2 linked regions of the Drosophila melanogaster genome follow. The protein of the gene in region 1 interacts with the protein of each later gene in a pairwise test. Each region holds a gene or a part of one and is shown on either strand. Other genes may lie near its edges.

What was found.
Region 2: the proteins of Nup62 (region 1) and CG13083 interact in a two-hybrid assay, tested with the Drosophila melanogaster proteins (one large-scale study listed by BioGRID).

The regions. Positions count from the first base shown.
Region 1 is NT_033778.4:16,342,861-16,346,474, forward strand, and holds Nup62 (nucleoporin 62kD), read left to right. Parts: upstream 1-1,516; 5' UTR 1,517-1,720; coding exon 1,721-2,905; 3' UTR 2,906-2,968; downstream 2,969-3,614. Other genes in the region: CG7997 (uncharacterized protein), read right to left, coding at 146-175, 235-326; wcd (wicked), read right to left, coding at 3,015-3,614. UniProt on the Drosophila melanogaster protein: Essential component of the nuclear pore complex. The N-terminal is probably involved in nucleocytoplasmic transport.
Region 2 is NT_033779.5:19,485,768-19,489,227, reverse strand, and holds CG13083 (uncharacterized protein), read right to left. Parts: upstream 1,739-3,460; 5' UTR 1,705-1,738; coding exon 851-1,704; intron 794-850; coding exon 697-793; 3' UTR 537-696; downstream 1-536. Other genes in the region: CG10194 (uncharacterized protein), read left to right, coding at 16-420; CG13084 (uncharacterized protein), read right to left, coding at 2,832-3,271, 3,331-3,460.

The DNA of each region.
Region 1 (3,614 bases):
TAAACAAAAGCGTTATTGCAGCGTAGCGTGTAGAGTTCATGCCAAGGCCTAATTTTTACTAACTATTAAAGTTTATTTATTTTAAATGTTAGACGTAATGATAATTCTTTATGATCTAATCTAGTTGCTGGTAAATATTTCTTACCGCTCCCAGGACATCCAGCCCATAGGTGGCCTAAAATCGACAGAATTTCAATTAAGTGGCCTAGAATCCAATCAAAATTTAATACTCACTTTAGTGCCAGGCCATTATCGAGGCCCATGGATAATTGCAGAACCTGCAGCAGAAGAATCCCGCCCAGAAAGACGCCCCACGTTCCGTACATGGCGAGCTAGTGGCACCGACTGAATCCTGGCCTTTGGGCACCCAGGGAATTTATATTCTCCAGCGGGCGGCACTCCAGATAACTCTGTTTGGCAGGGGCACCTGAGGAGCTGGAGGTAGGGGAATGGCACCTGAAGAGCTGACAGAAGGTTAGTGGCTAATTGCTATTGCAGCGGAGTACTCCCATCGACTGATTGGTGTTCGCCGGGTGGCGCAAACAGCGGGCTTTCTCGATTGCAGGAGGAGCCGGAGCCCCTTATCACGCCAAGTTCACAGCGATCACAGGGAGCAAATAGAGAAAATCGAGGAGAGACCGAGAACAGGGGCTTTTGATTCTGATATGCTTTTGTTGTTCAATTCTGGCGCTGCTTGCCAGCTACACTGGTCAACAAAGTTGGGGAAATAGTTGGAAGCATAGTAGACTAGAGCACGGTACTAGTGATGGGAAAACATGTACTAACAAAACATAGGAACTATGGTCTTTTATTAGAAAATTTTGATCTGGTTTTTAAGAATAATTTAAAATTTCTGTTTTTGAGGATCAGATCTCAGATCTTATGAAAATCTTAAAAAGAATCTTATTACAAAAAAAAAAAAAACCGAAGGTCAAAGACAAGCTCTAATTGTTGTACCGCATTACGTTTGTACCTTAGGTAATTTTTCTAATTTTGTGGCTGGCAGCTCTGAAGAGAACCTACACAGGTACGCAGAACGAACCTTCTGATAGGAAGCACACATGTGTTTAGCTGATTTAGCAAAATGCAATTACTGAACTGAGTGCCGCTGCACTTTGGGCTTGTAATTGAATTCTTTTGACCCAAATGTTACCTTATCGCCTTTGCACTTACAGATAGCAAAAGATGACTAATTAAAGCCGGTGTTTTGTTATTGATTTTGTTTGTACGATTGACTACGTTTTCTTTCTGAGTTGGTTTTTTTATTTAAGTTGCGCGGAATGATTTGTTCCATGTACGACTAAAACTGGAGCTAAAACATAGCTCTCGACCAGTGTTGTTTGTCGATTTCGCAAGTTAGTTGATCGCTGGTTAAAAAAACGGACACAGACATAAATATATTTTAAAAGTGCAAAAAGTGATTGCAAACGTTAAAATAATATAAATGTTTTGGTTTTCAGCATGTTTTAGTAACAAAAATGTATCGTCGACTGAGCAAAGTACTTCATTTGTATTGCCAATTCAAAGAAATTTAAAATTTAATTTTGCCGCCCAATCTTCAAACTGCTAAGTGTTTTGGCTTGAAAATAGCTAGCTTGAGCTCAAATTTAGTTGATTTCCAACACCGACAACATTGCGGAACTCCAAGGAGGGGTCACACTGGTTGCTTTTGGCGTGTTTCGTTTGATTTAGATTTATATTATTCGTCTTAAGTTTAAGCATGGTATTCCAGTTGCCAACAACAACCGCCGCCCCGACCGGAGGCGCAACATCGTCGTTTTCCTTCGGCCTCAGCACAGGAACACCAGCCGCAGCACCAGCTTCAGGAGCAGCAACCACGGCTCCCGCCACAAAAACCACATTCTCTTTCGGAACACCGGCACCTACTGCTGGTATCGGTGGCGGAGATGCAGACAACAGCAAGGCGCAGGCTCCACCAGCCTTTGGATTTGGCCTGGGATCCGGGACTGCTTCAGCTCCCCTCACGCTGGGCACTCAAGCCGCCGCAAATCCAGCGTCCACCACTTCTGCGACCGCGACTGGAACCTCTGCTGCTCCTCCCGCCTTCGGAGGCTTTACGGCTCAACCAGCGGCATCTGTGGTGCCAACTATAGCAACCAGTGCACCCAACACCGCAGCTACCACAACTGGATTGCTGGGCGGGTCTGGATTGGGAGCTCCCAAGACCACGGCCGCTGCGTCCACAACTCTGACTGCAGCTCCGTCGGCCATAGCCTCCACGCAGGGAGCTGCACCGGCCCCAACTTTAAGTACTGGTGGTGCTTTTGCCAATCTCACTACCGAAACCAAGACCACAGACTCATCGGCCGTTTCCACGGCATCCCAATTGTCCTACCACCAACTTGAGGAGCATATCAACAAGTGGACTCTCGAGTTCGAGGAACAGGAAAAGGTATTCACCGAACAGGCCACTCAGATCAACGCATGGGACAAACTGCTCATCAGCAACAACGGGAAGATCGTCGAGCTCAACGATGCCGTGAAAAAAGTGAAAACCGATCAGCAAGTGCTGGACCAGGAGCTGGAGTTTATAGCCACGCAGCAAAAAGAGCTTGAGGACAGCCTGGGACCGCTTGAGAAGGAATTCGTTAATCTCCCGAGGGTGGACATGGAACGCAGCCAAACCTACCTGATGGTGGAGAATCTGGACACACAACTGAAGCAGATGTCCGAGGATCTAAAGGAGATAATAGACAACTTGAACGAGGCCAACAAGGGCCAGGACACCACTGATCCCATCATACAGATCGGAAAAATCCTTAATGCCCATATGAATTCGTTGCAGTGGATCGAATCGCAGTCGACGAACATCAGCAAGAAGCTGGAAGACATTGGCAAGATTCAAGACTCCCAGAAACGCGATATTTTCCGAGCTCCTTTCTAAAGATAAGTCCCCTTAATTTGTTAACTTAAATAAAGATGGTTCCATTGTAACCACAGAAAGAGTAATGATTTTATTTAAGAATTTATTGTAAACATCATACTGCCTTCAATTAATAACCCTTGAAGTACTTAAGCCTAAAGAGCGGCACCTGTTTGCCCTTAGTGGCAAAGGCCAGGAAGCTGCTGTGCGGCGAAAAGGCCATGGAGGTCACAAAGCCAACCTTCTCGTTCTGTGCCGGGAAATTGGAGTACACAGTGGCGCTGGGGAAATGGGCCAGCTTAAAAGCATTCGGCGCCTCACTGGAGCACATCGCCAGTAGCTCAGATGAGTGATTGAACTGGAGATCCGTGATGGCAGTCCGTAGGTTCATGAAGCGCTTCTCGGGTTGTGGGGCCTTGGATGCGAAAATGCTCTCGTAGTCGTAGATGTTGACCACGCCCTCTTGACTGCCGGTGGCCAGTAGGCGTTGGTTGGGAGACAGTTGAATGGACTCTCCATGTATACAGCCGTCGTCCATGAAGATGTGCTCGATGAGGTTCTGGCGCAGGTTCAGCACGCTGACATTGGAAGTGGAACCGCAGACGAGGATCCTCTTGGAGTCACTAGACCATGTGAATCCCTTCACTTTGCCCTCCTGCTTGAAGCTGTGCAGCAGCTCATTTGTTTTGGCCGTGAGCAGGTGAATGGCTCCAAACTTGCCAGCAGTGAC
Region 2 (3,460 bases), on another chromosome or scaffold:
TTTATATTATTGTAGTGGCGTTCCCCATTGGACTACCTTCAAGCGAGCCTAAGAAAAGAACTCTGGCTGCCGCCTCCACAATTCTATGAACTTTCGCGCTGCCTAAACTTCTCCTCTTTAGATAACCTGCGTCAGTTTGCAGCAGAGCGTGAGGTCAAAGGCATTCAGCTGATTCATCCTGTAGTGCACAAGTGTACAAATGGATTAGTGCATCTCTTGCCAGGAGATGATGCTTACCCCGCCGATCCGGATGCAAGTAACGAAAAAATTGAGATCGATTTGTCAGTCGAGGAATTCCGTTCGAAGACGAATGCTAAATTACATCGATCGGAGCACTGGAACCAGCATCAGTCGCAGCTGATAATTAAGTTTGAGCGGGATGATGGTCAGGTTCATCCATTGGATCCAACAAAATTATAGAGGTAGAGCCGGTTTCCTCTATGTCAGGTGCATTTATCTAGTTTTATAAGTTTTCCAACAATTGATATATAAAGTTGGACATAACACTTTTTAGCAATATACAACTTATAAAGTTCGATTTCCTCCATTTACTCTTGTTTATTACATTGTGTTACAGAACGGTTTAATATACAATTATATAAGATAGATAGAATCGACATGCTGGGATTTGATATAGGAAATCAAGCAATTTCTGAATATGGCATAAAACATCTATCTTCAGTTTTCGTATTAATGCTACTGGCCCTTTCCATACCAAAGTTTGTATAGGTATTCAGCCTCTTCTTGGGATGCATAGACGTTCTCGTATCCTTGATTGCCCTCTGGTTTTGGCCTTAAAATGAAAAGAGTGGTTTTAGTGTGCACCCAGAAGTAGGGCATACAAACTTACTTGTAAATTGGTGCGTGTTCCGGGTGAGTCCAGATCTCGTGGGGCTTCTGGTGTGACGGATTTTTGTGCTTGCAGCCATCCAGCGTCCTTTCAATGTTCTTCTGATTGTTCAGTAGGGCAGCCAGTTTATGATCGACCTGTGAGGTGGCCACCTGCACTCCATGGACAGTGTGCTCGATGCTGTTGAGGCTCTCGGACTGAGTGCGGTTGAGAATGACCAGACCCCACTCCAATTGATTGACTTTGCGATTGGCACGATCTGCCAGAGCCTTAAGTTCGCCCAGATATCCCACTTGACCCACGATGTTGCGCTGCTGCTCCTGGAGGACCTTCGCTTTATTGTCCAAGCCGATGAGTTCCCCTATGACGGCCTGTGATAGCAGCTGCTGAATCTCCGACAGATGCGAGTTGACGGATGAGGCCACTTCATTTAGGTTCTGCTCGTATTTGTTCTGATTGGCAGCCACTTGTTCCAGGGCTTTCCTGATTTCTAGCTCCACTTTGGTAAGATTCCTAATAGAGTTTTCATTCTGACCCTGGATTGCGTTAACAATGGCTGTCAAATTTCCCACTCCAGAGGCCGTGGCTTGGAAGCTGCTTTGAACGTTCGATTCCAGCTTGGCTATGGCAACCTCCAATCCAGCAATGAGTTCGATCTCGTCGCGCTGATGCTTGAACTTCTCTTCAATGCCCTTCTGCACGTCCTTCACTTTCTGCAGCCCATGGTTTAGCTCCTCCGTACCTTTGATCAGCTCCTCCACCTCACTGCGGATCTCATGGATGGAGTCCAGATCCTCAGCTGCAGCCGCGCATAGGTAAATGCATATCGTTAGCAAAGTCAGTCGCACTCTCATGGTGTTTCTCTGATGGCCGCTCCCCGCTGAGTGTCTCTTTTCGATCCGAACCGCAACTTAAGTAGCCCAACTTAAGGTCCAAAACGTGTCTTAGACTGGGTTAAGTTCTATCAGTTCGGTCACCACCCACTTCTCTTCAGCGGGTGCAGGTGCAAATGCTGCTCCAATCTGTAATAGTGTGTTTACGAGAATTTCCCTACTACTAAGAAGATAGTCGCGAACAACTGTTTTATCATCTTGTAAAAAGAAAGAACTAAAGCGAATTATGTTGCATGTAGTCGTACTAAATAGTTATTGGTTCATCGACATCTTGGTAAAGTTAGGGAAAATCCGTGTAGTGTCACGTTTCAAAATTCTTCTTTGTTTCTAAACAGAACAGATTGACCCGGTTTTTTGTGTGCTACGGTAGTAATAACACCACTGAAAAACGTGCCCCAGCTGCTTCTTGTTCAAATTCATTCAGAAAATAGGTCTTCGAAGGTAATGATAACGTAACAAATGTTTTCGGGCATACTGTCTATCGTTTACAAGAAATAAAGTAATAAAGCGAACTAAAGTAATTTTGTAAAAGTTTAATAAGTCTATATTTTGTTTCCTATTTCGAAAACAGCAGTATAATTAATTATCCTTCATATTATCATGCCTATTCAAAAATTGGCCAAGATGCCTTTTGCAAATTTAAACAAACTTGGATCCTTTACTATTAACTTTTAAAAAAGCTTAAAATATTTTTAAAATTTGCTTCTATCAACAAACAATAGCATAGGTTAATAGTAAGGTGAATTTATTTACCTACAAAACATACAAAATAACAAAAATTTCTTCGTATATTTTGAATAGATTTTGAGAAAAGTTTTTGGAAATTGAATGTATATTTTCGCATACGATGCTAAAAGTTGATGCATATGATTTCCATGAAACTATAGCATTTTTTCTCAAAAGTTATTTATTAATTACTTGCTAGGAATATAATCAAAAATGTATTTCCTTTGCTTTTTTTTTATTTATTTATAAAACATAAAAATTGTACAAAGTAATGAATCTGAATTAAAAAAAAAGAGTTTGTTAAATGCTTTGAAAAGTTGTATCAGTTTCAGTAACAGTGGTAGTCCCAGTTAAATCTTCCTTTAGTATCCTTGGGGGAGGGAACTGTCTCCATACCAAATCCTGAAGGATTCTCCTGGCTGGATGGGCTGTGGCTTGTAGATCTCCTCATTGTAAGACTGTGGCTCGTGGTGGGGCTTATGAGGTTGCTCGTGGTTAGGTTTGGGACTGTAATCCACAGGAAGCTTGTAGGATTCAGGCTGGTCATGTGGCAAAGGAACATAGGATGCCGGAGTAGGGTGCTCTTTCTTGGGGCACGGCTTGGGCTTGGTAACGGAGGTGGGAACGTGGGCCGGAGCTGGGTTCCATGGCTGATGGTGGTGAACTGGAGCGGACTGGTATGGGGATCCGTACTCCCACGGCACCGTCTGCCGCCAGGACACGGCGCTGGAGCTCTGATAGTTCTTCTTTGGCTCGGGGGACTGGGCATAGGCGGTAGCTTTGTGGTTTCCAGAGTGCTCTCCTATGAACGACAAGCCATTAATTTGTGATCCTAATCTGGTGGCAATAAGGACCACTTACCGTGCTTGGGCTCCTCCTTGATGCTCCACACCTGTTCCAGATCCACTTGCTTGGGCTTAGGATGAGCATGCTGCGGCTCTGGGACCTCAGCTCCGTAGGTGGGAAGATAGGACTCGTCGTGATGGCCATA